Drosophila melanogaster: one gene and its partners. The protein of the gene in region 2 interacts with the protein of the main gene of each other region in a pairwise test. Each region holds a gene or a part of one and is shown on either strand. Other genes may lie near its edges. The genes, in order: Zip88E, pip, Snmp1 and CG10469.

Evidence for each region.
Region 1: the proteins of pip (region 2) and Zip88E interact in a two-hybrid assay, tested with the Drosophila melanogaster proteins (one large-scale study listed by BioGRID).
Region 3: the proteins of pip (region 2) and Snmp1 interact in a two-hybrid assay, tested with the Drosophila melanogaster proteins (one large-scale study listed by BioGRID).
Region 4: the proteins of pip (region 2) and CG10469 interact in a two-hybrid assay, tested with the Drosophila melanogaster proteins (one large-scale study listed by BioGRID).

Annotation. Positions count from the first base shown.
Region 1 is NT_033777.3:15,266,776-15,271,085, reverse strand, and holds Zip88E (Zinc/iron regulated transporter-related protein 88E), read right to left. Parts: upstream 2,425-4,310; 5' UTR 2,324-2,424; coding exon 2,075-2,323; intron 2,006-2,074; coding exon 1,746-2,005; intron 1,683-1,745; coding exon 1,481-1,682; intron 1,350-1,480; coding exon 971-1,349; intron 902-970; coding exon 891-901; 3' UTR 554-890; downstream 1-553. Other genes in the region: Cp190 (centrosomal protein 190kD), read left to right, coding at 1-43; CG14864 (uncharacterized protein), read left to right, coding at 2,714-4,310.
Region 2 is NT_037436.4:19,334,609-19,339,584, forward strand, and holds the start of pip (pipe), read right to left. Parts: upstream 3,002-4,976; 5' UTR 2,823-3,001; coding exon 2,734-2,822; intron 1-2,733. UniProt on the Drosophila melanogaster protein: Sulfotransferase involved in dorsoventral axis patterning in early embryos.
Region 3 is NT_033777.3:21,164,662-21,170,218, forward strand, and holds Snmp1 (sensory neuron membrane protein 1), read right to left. Parts: upstream 3,545-5,557; 5' UTR 3,468-3,544; coding exon 3,357-3,467; intron 3,297-3,356; coding exon 3,139-3,296; intron 3,073-3,138; coding exon 2,925-3,072; intron 2,480-2,924; coding exon 2,225-2,479; intron 2,157-2,224; coding exon 1,650-2,156; intron 1,590-1,649; coding exon 1,411-1,589; intron 1,351-1,410; coding exon 1,053-1,350; 3' UTR 506-1,052; downstream 1-505. Other genes in the region: CG5810 (uncharacterized protein), read left to right, coding at 1-415. UniProt on the Drosophila melanogaster protein: Plays an olfactory role that is not restricted to pheromone sensitivity. Has a role in detection and signal transduction of the fatty-acid-derived male pheromone 11-cis vaccenyl acetate (cVA). Not required for sensitivity to general odorants.
Region 4 is NT_037436.4:6,091,656-6,095,308, forward strand, and holds CG10469 (uncharacterized protein), read right to left. Parts: upstream 1,646-3,653; 5' UTR 1,431-1,645; coding exon 1,195-1,430; intron 1,136-1,194; coding exon 568-1,135; 3' UTR 533-567; downstream 1-532. Other genes in the region: CG10467 (uncharacterized protein), read right to left, coding at 1,646-2,740; loj (logjam), read left to right, coding at 3,542-3,653.

The DNA of each region.
Region 1 (4,310 bases), on a different chromosome or scaffold from region 2:
GGATGAGAATGGGGTTAGTGCGGCGGCGAAGGAGGAGCTATAATTACTAGATTTATTTATGTTCTAAGTTTGGCGATTCAACGCAGGTCAGCAGATAAACGCACCTGAGCTCGGCGCGAATTTTCGGTTTCTATTGTAAATTAAATTGTTAATGAAGATCAAGGTGAATGATAAGATATGCATATGCACTGGTTTAAGTGTATAAGATCTAATCTACTCATCTCACGTAATTGTAAATCCCCTCCCATCCCAAGTATGTTGCCCTGCTAGCATGAAAATCGTAAATCTAAGAGGAGTTCCCCAAATGACCTTAAATGAGAGATCAGAGACCAAACAACCCAACATTTAGCTATTTATGAGTGTCCGTTTCTTCACACATACACCACCAATAGAGCAACCAAGCAACATTTCACGATTAGGTAAACACTATATATATATATACACATATGCCTATTTACATACATATAGAGATGTAGTTACATAGATGTTGTTTTAATTCGTTTAAAACAGTGACATGATGTCCCCAGAAAGTAATAAAATGATTGCGTTTAATGGTTGGCTAAGTAAGATTAATCAAAAGGAAAAGAGGATGCCCTTTTTTTGATTAACAACTTAATTGTAAGGTTTATTACATATAATAAAAGCATAAAAAATAACACAAACTTTGGAGAAAGAGAAAATATAAATGTAGACGAGAAGACTGAACTTTTTACTTATCCTACGGCAGATCGACAATGTACCTAAAACAAGATTAGTTGGAAATGCACAAGTAACAAGTCTTACACAAGAGATTAACAGCTGCCAATCCATAATATTATCCTAAGTGTTCTAAGTTTAAAAAGCGGCACATTTTCTCACAGCGCTGAAACGATTTCTCAACGAAAAGATGTCTAATCCTCATCTGAAAAGGCGCGAAGAAAATAGGTCAGCAATGTCGAAAGGGAAATGCAAATCACATAATGCTACGCACCAGAAAGATAAAAGTTTATGATGCACATGGTCGCAAAGCCGGCGAGCACAGTTGCAAACTGTGCAAATCCCGCCCAGCGTCGCGTTGAGTTCGAGTGCCAGCGCGCCTTCTCGCGCGGTATCACCTCGCAGACGGTGACGTAGAAGAGTGTGCCTCCGGCCAGAGCTTGGACGATAGGCAGAGTTTTGCTGGACCAAGCGGCGGGCACGTCCACGATAAGCATGCCCAGGCCAATGCCAATGACGGCGCCCAGGGCAAACACCGAAATGCCGACGAACTGGGCGCGAAAACTCGTCTGCGGATTCGAGCGGAACTCGAGCCCCAGACAAAAGCCCATCACGAACTTGTGGCAGGCGACGGCCCCTAGAAGAAACAGAACCTACGACGAGACAAAGCAGATTCCGGTTATCTAATTGGACTAAGCCCTCGCATCTCTTTGCTTCAATATTTGCCTAAGATTGCGCACTATAGCCGATCTAGTCTAACTATGTCAAGGCAGGCGGCACAGACCTTTGTGGAAGAGTTCTGAACGCCGATGGCGAGTCCTTCGATGGCCGAGTGCAGTGACAGGGCGACAAAGAGACCCAGAGTGCCTGTCATGGATTGGGCGCAGGGTTCCGTGTGGCTGGTGTGGCAGATGCGGGCGTTGGCGTCCTCTACACTGGCATCATTACAGCCAGATGCGCTGGCCGGGTGATTGTGGTCATGATCGCTGCGTAATCGAAGCACAAAGCAATTAGTTTTGGCTGCGGGAAGGGAAATGCAATAAACCTACTGGCTATGATGGTGCGAATGCCCATGTGACGTATTGGGTTCCGCTGATAAAAGGGGCGCTCGTTCGTCCACTGCGCCATAACCATTGTCATTAGTGGGACGTCTTGGTGGCTCGGTTGCTGGAGTCTCTGCATCGTGGGCATGAGTGTGCTGAATGGCCTCGCCAAAGAAGTAGTGTATGAACTCGTCGATAAAGTAGATGATGAAGAACCCGCCGCACATGGCAACCTCAGCGAATTTCGAGTCCATTTGTTCGCGCACCTGTTGCATGCGTAAGTCAGCAGGTTATCAAATTGCAGCCACACACACGATCGCAGTCCAAGCTCTTACCTCGGGCAGAATGTGCACCAGTGCGGTGGCTAGCAGAATGCCCGCTCCGAAGCACAGGAGCAGGGATGCGGTCAGCGGGAAGCGGCGACGATTCCGTTCCGATATAAAGGCGGGCAGCAATCCGAACAAAAGACTCCCGAGTCCGAGGACCAGCATAGCCAGCACTTTTTCCAAGTCGCCGCGACTCGTGGCAGCCAGGGTGGGGCTTGGGGTGATCTCCATGTTTAGACCGTCGGTTGGCAAGCTCATTGTATCAACTGCCAGACTGTGTCATCAAGAAGGGGGCCAGTAAAACACACAAAAGTTCGTTGCATTTACTATTTTTAAACTAAACAGTTGCGAAGTGTGTGCAGCTGCTTTCGTGCGAAATACCAAAACGCCTTACAATGGGGGGGCCACAGAAAAGTAAGGCATTTCAGCAGTGCGCCTTTCAGATCACACTCATTTAAACGGTTTTTTTTTTTTTTAATTTTATTTAAACATTTAAATCTAGAACTATTCTTTTACCAACCACCACCATTAAGAATTTCAATAAAAGAAGGTAGGCACCCTCTCCAATTATAGTTTTGCACTTCGACAAATGCTCCTGTAGTTAAAATTCAAAATTTTACCGTTTCCGTCCTGGTTGTCCGTTGGAAAATGCATCGTCGTTGTATAATCTGTGGCCAGGAGCCGGGCGAGCAGTGCGTCTACCCGCGCAACATGTCGGAGGCTCGCCGGTGGCAGAACTTGGCCAACCTCAGCAGTTTTGACGTCGACCCCGAATCGCTATGCCGGCACGGATGCGTTTGCGCCTCCCATTTGGATGGCCACGGATCAGGTTCGGAATCGGAGAGCTCGTCTCGTGCTGCTGGCAGGGCAAGGACTCAAGCTGGCCTGCAGGAATGGAGCAGGTGGAGCTCTTCGGCATCGGACGCTGGCCATGGCTATTCCATCAGCAAAAAGACTAACGAGCGGATCCAGAACCAAAGCAAACAGAGTCTCGGCTCGGAGAGGCAGGAATTCAGCAGCGCGAACAGATGTACGAATGGTTGCTGTCGTTTTCGAAACACCTGCAACAGCATGTTCCAGGGCAATACATACACCCAAATGGGACAGAAGTATCCCAATCCACAAACAAGGGCCACAAACTTAGAGAACAAAAATAATCCACCTATGAAATTAAGCCCAAGGGTAAATAAACCGACCTTTGGAGCTGTAAACTGCACCTGTGATGGATGCACCTGTAGTTTCTGTCCAGTGCAAGGGATCAAAAAAGCGGTAGCCCCTCTAGAAGAGGATTCAGGCAGCCAACAAAGTATAAATAAAGAGTATAAAGAAAGAAAGGATAATTCCAAAGGCAGCCCAAAAAAACAGAGTTCCTGTGAACGTCTCACTTGTCCAGCTTTCAGGACAACGGACATAAAAACTGTAGCAGATGATTTCCGCAGTAGCCCGAACTACCCGGTATCGCCAACTTCACGAGGTAACAACAAAATTAAAAGTTCGATGAACCAGCAGAATACGAAGAAAAAGCCGGAGCTGAAGAGCGAATGCTGCCAGACGTGCATCACCCAGCAATTGAAGGATCAGGAAGTGCAGTGCTCAACGGTGACGCTGCAGACTCAGAGCTCTTCGCCTGTTAGGCGAACCAAGATGACCGGCTCGTTCAGCCATCAAACTGGAAGCTCAGCGACAGGTTTATCTGGCGGATACACCAATAATTCGAATAACTTTACTTGTGGCGGCGGCGAGAGAAGAACTTCAAATGCAATCAACGTGCTGCTTATGAACGGCACCCGGAATAATGACTATGAAGATGGGTGCTGCTCTCCGGCGAAGCAACGTCCCATGGCGCCGCCTCCAGAGATTTGCGTTCAAGAGTCCGATCTGACCGAAAATGATGAGCGAGCTGTGTTCCCGGAAATCGACAAGCCCAATTACAGAGTTTGTCGATCCTCGAACGAGACCAATGTTCTGGTCCTGGAGGAGAGTCCTTTGAATGATTGCAGCCCCAACCCAGGGCAGGATGCGAGTACACTAGATAGCAAGACGAAGAGTAATTTTGATGCTCAACAAAACGCCAACGATAATAAAGAGCAACATAATAGTTTTCTAATCAACTGGCTTGAGTCCCCGGCCACGAGTAACTTCACCAAGGTTCTGGAACTGCAGAGATCTCGCATCAAGGAGCTGGAGAATCTGCTGGAGCAGCACAGCCTTCTGCAGCAGACAATCCAGCACAAGGTTGCGGAGC
Region 2 (4,976 bases):
TTTGCCACCCGCCGCAGACAGACAGCAATAATTAACTTTCCCGCGGGCCACCGGCAGCGTGTAAAATTCCCAATATGCATCATTTCCATTGCAGAAAGACAGGCAAAATAAAACAAAACGGCATGCAAAACTCGAAAGAAAATGAAGAAAAGAAAAACAAATCACATCACTGAATATAATTACCAAAGAGTAAGTGACTGCATGTCGTGGCGCCCAGAGAAAGAAAGAAACTGGCAAGAAAGAGAAGAATTGCTGAGAAAGGCGCACAGAAGAAAGACTTGAAGACTTGTAGACTCGGCAGCGAAGAGCCAGCTACAGTCTTTTCAAGCGCGGCTTGAGTCTTCGCCCTCTTTCTTTTGGGGCGTTCTAAATAATTTCTGTCACGCTTCGGCTTGCAGTGAAAATAAGAGTGAGTTTTGTTTTTTGTATTAGGTAAACCCTAATCCAAATGGAAAGCAAATCAGAAACGTAATTTATGCTAATTCGAAAGAAATTATTGCATAACTGCACTTCATTCCACTCATTGAGCGTATAATTGTCTTTTTTGACTTTTCAAATCGATTCGAATCGATTCCGACTGATTTTTCTCAACTGGGTGCAACGAACTCATTTTCTACGTATGCTCATTTATCGCGTGTCCGGATAATGAAGCTGCCAAACATCTGTCGCCGAGTTATTTAAGCAAAACCAATTAATTTCATTAATTAATATCAATTTGAGAGCGTACAAAAGAATTGTGCAAATAACGACGTAAGTGTACGCAGCAATATGGCTGGGAATTTATGTATTTATGTTTCTCTGCAGGACAATTCGTATCTGTTGTGATAAATCATATCCATATTCAAATATTTGCACTATTTTGTTGTGCAAATGGCAAGATTACTCGTTTCACTAAGTCGCCTGGCCATCGGAAATGGATAAAAAATAAATGTTTACCTGATTGATTGGCAGACTGACTGAGTGGCCAACTGATTGACTGAGAGTTTGCAGCTGCATGAAATTGTCAAAATGAGCGTAAAATTTATGCTCCAGCCAGCGGTAACCACAGAAAGTATCACACATATCTACATTTAAGCCATGTGTTTAATTAATGCCAGTAATTCATACATTTAATGTAATAATTTGTTCTGCAAATAAACGGGAAATGGGCCTCGCTTCGCGAAAATTAACGAGGGCTTTATAGGAAAAAAGGATATCTAGCAGGGACTCAATAAGTGGGAAAATGTTTAAATAAAATATAAAACATATGTATGTCGTTGATCCAATTTGCCATTAGCTTGAGCTAAGATCTCACAGTTATACGCAAATAGCTGTGAGCCATGACTTCACCACGTTTTGCCTTAATGAAAAGCAAATTCTCACACCCTTTTAAAAAGTCAACAAAAACGGTAAGAAATAGTTTCCCAAAAGCCAATTAGCCCATAACATGTGTAGTCGGTATATCATTAGTTTACATCTCGACGCACTCGTTGCAACAAATTTGGCCATACAAACGGAAAAAAGAGCGAATCTTTCACAATAGCGGACGCAGTGGCTCAGTTCTCTGGCCTAAACACCTTTTAATAGCCAAAATTGTTATGGGCGGCCGCAGAAACCGCCGGCCGTCGACCATCGACCATCGACTAATGAGCGGGCAGTCAAGTTGGGGGGCTCTTAACTTTTATCTGAGCTGACTTGGCCCGAACTGAGCCGAGTTGGGTTCTGTAAAAGGCCAGAACAAACACCGAAAAATGCAGGCCCACACAATGCAGTGGTAGGATGGTGGTAAGACACGGCTCTTTTGGCTACTTGAAATAGTTGAAGTGAGCTCGGCTTTTGTGGTTTTCCTCCTCTTCATCTGCCGCCCCGAGGTGCTACACCAAATGAATTATGAGAAGAATTGAAAATGAAAAACGCAATAAAAAATAGAAACAAGATTGTAGCTTTTAACTGGAGCAGAGATTGAAAAAACGACAGACGCAAGTGCACAGAGAAAAGTTTATGAAACATTTAAAATTAAATGTTGAAGTACAGTGTTTACAAAGCTTTAATACTTGCTTTTAATAAGTCTTCAAAATATAAGAAAACATTTTCAAAGTATAAATAATAAATACAAAAAAAATAAAAGGATAAATAATAGACCCCTTTTTGTATATATAAATTTTTGAAAATATTTTCAATTGATACAGTACTTGGAAGCTCATATCAGCATTCGTAACAATTTTTCATAGCTTAATTAAAAGTACTCAATCAATTTTTTAAAATAAAGTTCTTAAAGCTCGTCGATCTACATAAACCCATCTAAGTCGATGAGATTCATATTAAATTTAAGATCAAAAATATCTATTTCTTCTAGTGTAGCTGCAATTAATTTACTGGCTGGCACTACTTAAAGTCCGTCAAGAATGTTCGAACTGCTCTGGCCAGCAATTGGAGTTTTTATTTAATTTTATTTATCAAATACAACGACCCTGAAACACTATCACTTTTAGCCAGATGCGAAAAACGGAAAGTTAAGCGCTTTTTATGGAGAATCGAGAGCAGAGTATTTTTAATCTTTAGCGCTGCGGCAAACGCAATCTTCGATCTACCAACTCGATTTCGATTCTCTGGCCATTCAATGGCAATTATGACCGGTTTTCAATTTAACTGAAACTGGAACTCAATTGCATTTCCCCTTTGAAACGAACACCGTTCTCGAGTGAAAGAAATCTTTTCTCCGCCGCCTTTTTCTCGGCTGAAGACCACACTTACCGCTTGGGATACGGTATGCGCCGGTATTTGAAGGCATTTTCCACATCGCGCAGTTTCATTTTGTACGATCGCTCGGCGTTCAGAGACATCCAATGTCAATTACACAAAAAACACAATCGCTTGAGATCTTAGTTCTCGAAGACCTTTCTTGGCCGAAAGAATTTTCCGGTCGGCACTTGGGTTCACTTGAGTTCCGATTCACGATTCGAAGACTTAGAGATATAGACGTCCGTAGAGCTCGGCGATCGCGGCTTGACTGAATGTTCCTGGGGGCACTTGGCCGCCTTTTTGGCCAACTTTAAGACGTTGGCAGCGGCGGCTTACCACTGTTTGCTTTTACCATTTTCTTCGACTCTCTTTGGCTCTGTTTATTCGCTCTTTTGATCGCTCTTTGTTCGCTGGCTGACTGATTTCGTGGGGACGTGACTGTAGCCCATTTGTCTGTGGCAACATTTTTATTATTACCCCACATCTGACATTAATCTACTTAGACATATTTATTTAGGTCGTCCAAACAGCGAAGTGTCTTTATTCTCTGCGCAAGGAATCGAATTTCGGGCACTTGTTTCAATATCCTTTATTGGATCAGCTGGTTTACCGACCTTAATGGTAATTTGTTCGGTTGAATAGAACATATTGCGTGTGATCCAAACCACGTTGGCAAAAATAAGAACTTTAGTTTTTTCTATTTCTTCATAGAGGAAGGGAGAATTAGAATTAAAAACAGGTTTACCTTTGAACCCATCCCCCCCAATGGACAGTCGAAAAGTTGACCTTCCCGCTTTTGTAATTTCCATCGATTAGTTTTGGCCATTCGTACATATATAAGCGATTCTTCTCGATGTCTGTCTTCTCGCCTCGTTCGTTAGCCAAACTTCGGGATCTAAGCTTAATTTTTGCCAAACTCAAATCTATAGTTTCTACAAGAGTTGGATTCCGCGATCTCCCCACTTGCTGTCCACAAAGCTAAGCTCATTGACCCTTATTCAACAGTTGACTCTTATGGCACAGTGCCTCAAAGAAATCTTTTTTCCGATTAAATTAGAACATTTAAAAATTAAATTGAGGTACGAATTTTTAATTTACGAGAATTAATACTAGATTTCAATATATTTATACCTTTACTCTTTTATTTAAGTGTGTCTTATCATATATTACTTTAAATTATCTTTTTCAGGTACCTTAACTTTTAACTCTCACTGTAACTGACTTGTCCACTAACTGGCGTCAGACGGCTGTCGAATTTAAGCGTTTACCCATAACTATCTGCATAGGTCCACATTTTTAGGACCGACAAAAAACTGATTGTTTAGTCTTATTAAACTTTTTTTATTTCAGCAACAAGTTGAAAATTCGTGTAAATTTCTCGATAACAATTGCAAAAAAATGGAAAAACGCCAGCCTCAACATAAAAACAGCCAAAACATAAAAGTAAAATTAAAACGAAATGCGTTGGCGGCACATGTCTTGTGTTTATCTGGTAATAATTAAAGGTATTTCAGCATTTGGTACCAAGAAAGTGAGTAGCTAAAAACTTGTAAAGTTGCTGCCTATTGCATTGATGACTGTCCAAATCGACTGAGATAATTGAGCTATCTGAATGATCAGACTCTTTCTCCGATTTCGAAACTTAAAAGCCGACGAGTTGTTAGGCTGTCGGTTTTCGGGTTAAGTTTATCAGCTGTCCAATTGTGGTCGCTCACAATATGTTGGCTATATCTTCGGTCCGATGCCATGGTTTTTTGCTGCCAACTGTCCCTTTGTGGCTGTGCCGATTGCGCTGAGCTGGCCAACTCGATTGTAAACAACTGCAATTGGCCCTAGGTGCAAACACAAATAGCTGATTGTGTGAGTTTGTGGCAGGTGTGCGTATATATTATATTTGGCCAATACTCGGCAGTGTATTTTATGCAGCGAGGTTTTCCATGTTAATTGGTTGGCATGTTTAATACATCCGCTTAAATATATAAAAGAAATTTAAAATCGTATTCGGTAAATAAATTTATTATTTACACAAATTCTAAATTAATATATTATATGTATATGTTATATGTAAGTGCGTACGATAAATAAATAATTTCATCAATTTGCATTAATCTAGAGTGAATACTTTTAGTAGATATATGTATTATATGTATATTAATGACCACGGCATAAAAAGAACTGCAAAATTATTAACTTTAATAGCCAGATATTTAAATGTGTTAATAATAAATAAAAGCAACAAACATACTAGTGATTAG
Region 3 (5,557 bases), on a different chromosome or scaffold from region 2:
TCTGGAGCATCTTTACTTGGCCAATACCAATCTGTATAGACTTGACTTTCTGTCCAAGGCCAGTAAGCTCGTTGACTTGGATGTAACGGACATTGTAAATCTCGCGGATTTACCCAAAATTACCTCAGCCAAGGGATTGGAAAGATTGAGTTTTACCTACGACAACTTGACTTCGAATCACATGGACATGTTGCCCCATCTGAAGGATCTCAACTACTTGGAGATAAGTCACGAGAAGGGAAAGGAGATCTTTATCAAGGATCTGGATGAGGATTTCTTTGTCGAGGAAGCGGAACTCAATTGCGGCCAGTTGGCGGATCTGTTGGAGTTCGTCGAACTGCCTAAGGACACAACCATTTTGGAAGATAGATTAGTTGGAGATCCTCGAGGGCCAATGAGATGTGGAATGGCATAGAAAAATAATCTATTAAATGGGAAATAGTATTAAAATTCCTACTTATTTATACTAATGAGAAAATATTATATAAATGAAACTGCATAAATTAAGCCAAATAAATACCATTTATTTGCCCCCTCTTTGTTTGATTTTACATTTACAACTACAAACACTTCACTTTAAGGGGCCAACAGAACAAGTACTTATAATTCGTCTTCATTAAAATTAATTAAAAAAGTGTAATTTTTGCATACTGTTTACAAATCATTAATCAACGCTATACAAGTTGAGATATTTTCACTTCAACTTTTCCGCCTGTCTCCGCAATTGTTTTCGGTTTGCAAACATTGCAGCCATTGTTTAAAAACGATTTGTCAATTCACCGACTCTTGTGATCGCTGAACTCGAACTTCTGAACTTCTGCGTTTTTTTATTTTTTATTACTGAATCCACGATGATCGGTGTCAGTGGAGCGCACAGATCTTGTCATCTGCGATCAGTGGTCATCGATTAGCGATCACTCCATTGGCCAGCGACCAGTTTCCCAGACGAATGTGCTTAGATCTGTCTCAGTTGATTAGCTCATATTGGACTACACAGGTGCAGTGGACTACGACTATGGTGCAGAGATCGCTGGAGAATGCCATTTGGGGTATTAGTAGCGCTCCCGATGCTCCATTTTGTGATGGGTAGCTGGATTGGTAGCGGGATTCGTGCCGGGAATCAGAGTATTGGGCAACTGAACAGGGTGCACAGTAGAAGATTGCTTTGGATTTGCTGAAGGCAAGGGCTCCTTTGTGCTGGCCACGTCGTCTACCTTGTTGTTATCCTTGAGGATGCTGTTTATGTCCAAACTGTCGGATTTGTGGTAGAAAAGATAGGCGGAAAACATCAGGCCCACCAGGGAGAAAGTAATGAGGGACCAGCGCAGGACTGAGTTGATTTTTAGGCCCCTAAAAAGATAATTAAAATATGTTATATAATTTCTCTTAACAATGTAGATTCCAACTTACAGAAATAGTGTGTATTTCACTAAGTTCGTGTAGGTCTTGTTCAACTGCACGCCCTCCTCCACCCAAAACATGGGCAATATCAGCTTGGGTAGATTCTTCATGGGTTCAATGCCCTCCACTGGCTCCATGTCCAGATTAAACTGCAAACGCTTGGCAGCCTGAAAAGGTGTTCCAGACATCTGAAGGGAGTAGAAATAGATAATATGCATGTATATTCATTACTCAAATTGCTTGCTTACAAGTTCAAAGTCTATGTAGACCGCATGATCCTTTTCATTCGGATTGAGACCATCAACGTCGGCAACCAGCTTTGGATCGCCCAGATAGAAATGAGGCATTGATGCCATCAATGGACCACCAACACAGGCCGCCAGATTCATAGTGCCCTTGGGCGGACACGTGTCCAGATCTTCGGGATCTTCGCAGAAACAATGAAGCTTCTCATCGGCACGTATATCCCCCAAATCCAGGGTGTATCTCATCGATGGCATGCCATGGTAGGATGACTTGTGCTGATAATAAGCGCCCAGGGATCTACACAAATCCGGCGTGAATGCCCACAGGCCATCCTCCTTTTTCAAGCCCGGTGCAAAGACCGTAGAATCAGTGCCCACAAAGGTGTTGCACTCGCCATCTGGCCAAATGTCTTGCTCCGGTTCGTCGGCGAATTTCACTACCTTTCCAAGCTTTTTGTTATTTTTCACTCCGCGACAGACAGTGAATCTGCCAGAATCCGAGTGATTGGCCTGTTTTTCGATGTTAATTGAAATTTCAGTCACTTAAGTAGTATTAATTGGCAGTATTAAGAACTCACCTGACCCATAAACGAGAACAAAAAGTGAGTTTGATTGACTTGTTTGGCCTGCTTAATTTCTCCCGTGTAAAACACGGTGCAGAGCGCCTTTGCGGAGAATTCTTCCGAGGAGCAATCTACGTTGATGCCGCGGAAAAATAAATCCATAAATTTAGCTTTCAAAAAGGCTTTGGCATCCGGAAAGACAATGCTTAATCCTTTGGAAACCAGCTCCATCATGGCAGCCTTTTCCCTTTGAACCGAAATGCCGCCAGGCTGTAAAAATTGGAAAGGGAAAAACATATAATCGCCGCCAATAAATCGCAGACTAAATTCAGCTTAGAATTACAGAACACAAAAGACGCCATTCTGAAATCCATTTCTATCACTCTTAATGGGTTAATTTTGTGGCTGCTATTTTGGGGCTGGGAATGCGATTTGCATAATTCACATGGCTAACAATGGGCCACGTGGTCATTAGCTGGCGCCTTAAGTGCAGTTTTCCATAGCTCTGACTAGAATCTCTAATTCCCAACGTTTGCCATAAAGTCGCTGATGCAGTGAGTGTTGATTTTAAATTTACTAACCATTTTTAGTAAGGTATAGCAGGGTATGGGATTGAATTTTATATGAAGAAATGGAAGAATATGATTGATTTAACGAAAATGTTTGGAAACTTGTATAGTTTCAAAAAATATGAACTAAACCATTTAATAATTACCAGCATTATGGGATGCGGCAAAATAATCTCCTCCTCGCCCGTAAGTGGCAGCGACTCCTTCGGGTTGAAAATGAACGTGTTCCTCATGGTGAAGCTGACCGTGTCCTCTACGACATCATCCTCCAAATCATACTTGTCCTTCCACTCACTCAAAGCAGGGAGAAACAGTGTTAGTTACTTGCTATCCTACACAATCCAATATATAGAAACCCACTCGAAAACGAAGGGACCCACTTCCTGTAGCCGTGGCTTAGCTCCTTCGGATACCTCATCCGGATTGGTTACGTTGAAAACGTAGATATAGAAATGCAGTGGGAATGGAGTATTGGACCAGAGTTCCCGAACATCCGATCCGGGCTTTAAAGTTACTTGCTATTGGGTGGGAAGCTATTATAAGATTTAAGCCGGGTATAACTCCCTCATCGATCCCACCTTCGATATCATAAACTTGAGAATTTTGGGAAAGATAACCCAGCCATAGATGATGGCAAACACGAACATGGCTCCCGACCCCATGAGCAGCTTAACCCGAGGTACTTGCATCTCTGGGCAATGTTTCGATCTCTACTCGATTCGTGCACGGAAATCCTTTCAATCCGATTGCCTCCTTCGAGCTGAAGACCAGAGGCTTTCACAGTCGCGACGCAACTGAATCGTCTCCACACTGAAGTCCGGAATCCCCTCCTCAAATCGGACGGAACGTGCGAATATTTTTCACTCAGCCATAGCAGCAGCATTTGCGGTTGAGGAGGCGGCAGGCCGGATGGCAAAACAATCAGATAACACGGCATTACTTATAAAATCAATAATTGCATGTATTTGAGTATTATAAATTGTTTCCACTTTACGCTCTACACTCCACGCAGTTTCGGCCATAGTCGGACGCACGAATGCGGTATAACTGGCTTTTGTTCATCTGGACCCTCGTCATCAAGTCGTTTTGATCGTACACCTATATTTCAATCAGACTTAATTGTTCGCATAGCCCAAATGGGCCAAAATGCATTGAAATGCATTTGATGTACCAACAAGTTTGGACTAGGAATATAAACAAGATCGTTTAATTGCCTTTCTTTAGGGGGAAGTAAAGGAATATCCTCAGTTTTTCTATAATTTGCAACCACTTCTATAAAAGTGTAACCCATTTTGGTTTTGAAATTGATATTAGCAAACACCATACATAACCCATAGATACGCATTAGCTACCCAAAGAACCTACTATCACCTACCTAAACGTTATGCACTTGGACTTGTAGAACTTATTTCTATACTTCTGTAATTGAATTTCGAAATGACTTATGCGACACCTGGCCTATATTCCACTATTAGCACTTGTTACCTTTCCTTGGAAACTTTTCTTCCCTAATTGCGGCAATTACGTTTTCCAATTTCAAGGAGAACCAATGCAAGTGTTGATGGCTAATTAGGGAAAGAGTAAGCCAGACTCGCGAGGTTTGATATTAGCTTGAGTGAGAAGAGCAAATATTTCTATTATATTTTGGAAAATTGTATTTTCTGGATTTATTTTATTTTAAATTTTCAAAGTAATTTATAACTTATTTGCTATAAGGTTATCCTATTCTAAAATTAGAAGCAGTTGAGTTTTGTAAAGACATAAGGCGTTAAATAATGCTAGTATCCATTTTTATTATGGCTTCACTGTCAAAACCTTAAAAGATACATTTTAGGCGTAAGCATCGAGTAAAATACTTCTTCATAAGTAAATCTAGTAAATACTCTTTTTTAATGATGTTCATGCAACTTAAACCTTGTTTTTACAGTGAATGATTGTATACACAGTTTCCAGACTCTGGTCTCAATATCTATGAAGTATCTAAGTATCCATCAAATCTGAAATATTTTCGTTGCCTTGTAATCTGAATATTTGTAGTGCGTAAAGCATTCTTCAATTAGCCAATAAATCCATTTAAGTTAGATGCTCTGCCACCTTGACCGGCTAACTGGGCTCGGCAACGCCCCTTTCAGTTGGTCGTTTGTTGACACAAACAGAAATCGAAACTGAAACCGAGTGCAAAACATAATGCATAACAATGGCACAAAACAAAAAAAAAATGAAAAAAACAAACAAGAAAACTACAGACAGAGAAACAACTTAAACAATGCCAAAACCCAAAACACGTGACTGCGCCATCGACTCGAGTTGCGTTGAGTTGACTTGAGTCGAGAAACATACATACATATATGTAAGACAGACAGACAGACAGACAGACAGAACCTCTCCAGCTCGCCAGTGGAAAATGACACAGAAAAGCGAGTTGCGGCGAGACGCGAGTGGAAATTGAAGCGCGCTTGACAACGGCAGCCGATCGTTTAGATACAGATACTTTGCCATAAGTTTCAGTATGTTCGACCAGGTTTCTTCGATTTTCTGCTGAGCGAATGTAAATTAAAATTGAAAATGAAGTGCCAGCGTAGCCAACAATTTGATTATGTTCGAACTGGAGGCGAAAGAGGAAATTCTCAATTTCGTTTGCTACCAATTATTGCTGGCCCAAATAGTTTTGAAAATGCCTAAGTGCTCAAGGGGCTTAAGATTGAGGTAATCCTGGTCTGGGTACATACTTCTTGGACTTGAAGACGACAAATGAGTGTCCAAAGTACGCTTTTCAAAG
Region 4 (3,653 bases), about 13 Mb from region 2:
AACTACAAACAAAACGAATCGAAGAGAAAACAAACTAATTTAATCAGCCGAGTTCTTATCAACTTATTCGCTTTGTTAACTAACAAATTGTATAGCTTTTCCACAATTTCGTTTACACTTTTTGTACATATAGGGAAAATACTAAAAGAATCGTTAAAAGAACCAAATTATATCACTCACCATTATTGTACTGAATCATTTCCATTTATGTGTTTGTACATTTTGAGAACTGCATTTACGAAATAGCGAGAACAAATAAGGTAAATTAAAGCAAGGGGGAGAATTGCAAATAATCAGCAACATTAACCACACTCACACGTAAACCAAGCCCACAAAACGAGAACATCTAAACATTATCATAAACAAATTGTTTAAACGACATGCAAAGTCACAAATAACATACAAATCGAAACCAACATTAAGAAATGATAACAAATTTAGCAAAGCCACAAGAGAATATTATGAAAATGGAACGGAGAACGAGAAAGTGTATGGGAGTTTGTATGAAGTAATAAGAATAAAGCACACGTTTGAAAAGAGATTCGATTTTTAATGATTCCACATCAACTACTTAAGTCCTCCAGAGTAGTATTTAATCCACTTGAGGTAGGAAGAAACGCGTGTGGATACGTCGGGCAGTTTTAGCTTGCACTCGCCATCGAATCCGTGGGATACAATTCCCACCAGGGTTCTGCTGCCATCGTCCAAGACCATCGGACCTCCGGAGTCGCCGCGACATGGCAGACCCTTCTTGGAATCGATGCAGATGAAGCCGTTGTGCACGACCTTTTTGCTTTTGCCGCCCAGCTGCTTGTTCCACTGCCTCTCGCACTCCTTGTTCGAGATGATGGGCGCCCTGATGTACTGGAGCACCTGGCTGGGCAGCTGCTTGGTGGTCAGACCCCAACCCGAAATGATGGCTTTGCGACCCGTGTATGTTTTCTTGGCACTGGGCAACTTGGCGGGTTGGATATACTTGTTAAATGTAAGCTTCTTGGGTAATTTGATCAGGGCTATATCGTTTGTCACGGTCTTACGGTCGAACTTCTTGTGGACGATGGTGTAGCTCCGGTTGACCACGATTTCTTTATCATCAAAGGATTTCACCTTTCCCACGTGGATCAGCACTTTCCAGCTAAGTAGGTGAGAAATATAGATATATATAAATCGGCGGAGTATGTGTATGTTACTTACAGATTAGACTTTGGATCCTGCAGACAATGGGCTGCGGTTATAATCCAACGATTACTGAGGATAGTGCCCCCGCACATATTGGGCTCATCCTTGGATCCTTCGAAGTAGCAAAGTAGTCCAACCTGGTAAGGCAACTGCTTCGCTTTTGCCGCTGTGCCATTCATTATTCGCAGGGAGCCAGTCTCCTGGCCAAATACCAGGGAGAACTGCACGATAAGCACCAGCTGGAGAATCATTTCAATTGATTTACAACTCCAAACCCTTGAACAGCTTTATATATTGCCCGTATTCGTGGTTTTCATTGATTGCCCCGGTTTTATGATTGCGGCGTGTTCGAACCTCTTTGCATAATCTGCGTGCTTTTGGTTTATTGGTTATAATAATTACGGGTTGCTTGAATAGTCGGATACATGGTACATATACGTATATATAAGTAAGATAAGATTCTCACTCAGTGAGAAACTCCGAACTTGTAGATGACTTCGTGCTGGTAACTTTCGCCAGGTCGCAAAATGGTCGAGGGAAAGTTGCTGTGGTTCACGGAGTCGGGAAACTTTTGTGTCTCCAGGCAGAAGGCACAATGCTTGGCATAGGCAGCTCCATCCTTGCCGGGAATGGGCGATTCACCGCGTTCCACGTCTGGCATAAAGTTGGAGGTGTAGAACTGCACTCCGGGCTGATTGCTGACCACCTCCAGCCAGCGTCCGCTGGGCGGATGAGTGGCTCTGGCCACCTTGGCCAATGGTTGTGGTGGACTGAAGGTCACACAGAAGTTGTCATCGTAGCCGCGAGCTGGCTGCAGCGCCTTGAGGCGTTCACCCAGATTGCTGGACACACGTAAATCAAATCCTGTTCCCTCTACGGGTGTGATACGGCCGGTGGGAATGGAAGACTGATCCGTCTCAGTGATTCCATAAGCATTTATCTCGATGGTGTGCTCGTAGAGACCGTTGGCTCCAGATTTGTGGCCAGCTAGGTTGAAATAGGAGTGGTTGGTGAGATTCACGGGAGTGGTTTTATCTGCTAGTGCACTCATCTGGACATGGAGGCAGTTATCCTCGCTGAGGGTAAAGCTTGCCGTGGCTGTCACCTTGCCGGGATAGCCTTCGTGTCCATCGGGATTGGTGTGGGACAGGGTAACACCATCCACACGCACTTCCACAACTTCCCAGTGAGCCTTATCGAAGCCTACAAAGCCGCCATGGAGCTGAAACTTGTTGTCTCGGTTCTTAGACACCTGAACTAGCTTTCCATCAAGATAAAAGCTGCCATTGGCAATCCGGTTGCAAACCCGCCCAATGGTTGCTCCAAAATACGGATTTCTCTCGCTCTGATAGCCCGCCAAATCGTCAAATCCGAGGGTCACGTCATCTATTTGACCGCTGGCATCAGGCGTCTTTATGCTGGTAATGGTGGCTCCACGGGTGATCAATTGCACGGACATTCCAGCTCCATTTGTCAGGGTGAACCGCTTGATGGTGTCCTTTGACTTGGTGAACGGATTCACCGCTCCGTTGGCGAAGACGTCTTCCGTGACGTTGACCATTTTGGATCCGGCTGCAGCTGTGGAATGATTACGAGTGCCAATTGCACTGCGTTTTTATCTGACCCTCTCCAAGCCGTAAAGGTTAATCAGCACTCGATGTGCGTATGTGTTTGTTTTAATTATCGCAAAAAAGCCGCAAACAAAATGTACATATGTACGTACATATATAAACAGATCTAGTTATCACAAATTGGTGGGAAAGTCTGCGATAAGGGGGATAGACACCTTGTGGAGTCTTTAAGAATTGTGCAATGTTCGTATTCCAAATTTAGCGGTAATTCAGAAAATTCTTACTTAAATTATCTTTTAATCGCCGTAGTTGCAATTCAAATTTTAGAGTTGCCTTACCTATTTTAGACCAGCTGTTTTTACATGTGCGTAGTAAGTAAAAATTCGCAGGGGCTTGTTTTAGTAGTTAAAAATTTGTTGGTAAAATTTTTTGATATTTGCTTATTAAGCCTTTTAAATAGAACAATTTTATTAACATACTTGAATACAATATACATTTTTTTATATATATGTTTAAATGCCCATCTTTGCTACACAGTGGTGGCAGTTGCAAAGATCTGGCAGCCCTGCTCTAGAAATACCACACAGCAAATAGTCCACCTCTAAGCAACAGGTCGGTTGTTTATTGAATTCGTTTATTTAACTTTATGGGTAGTTTGGCAAATAGAAAGCTAGCTAACCGGTGCAGTTAACCCTTTTTGTTGACAGAGAGCTCAGAGGAAACGGCAGATTAGATCCCCCTGAGTTCATCCCCACCCAGGCACCACTAATCCGACGAGTATAAATCCCAAAATGCAATTGACGTGGCAGAGAGATCAGATAAATCTAGTACTTCCGATTGCTCTGATTTGTTGTTGTCTTTTGATCGACGTAACCAGCGCTCAGGAGGCCCAACAACCATGGT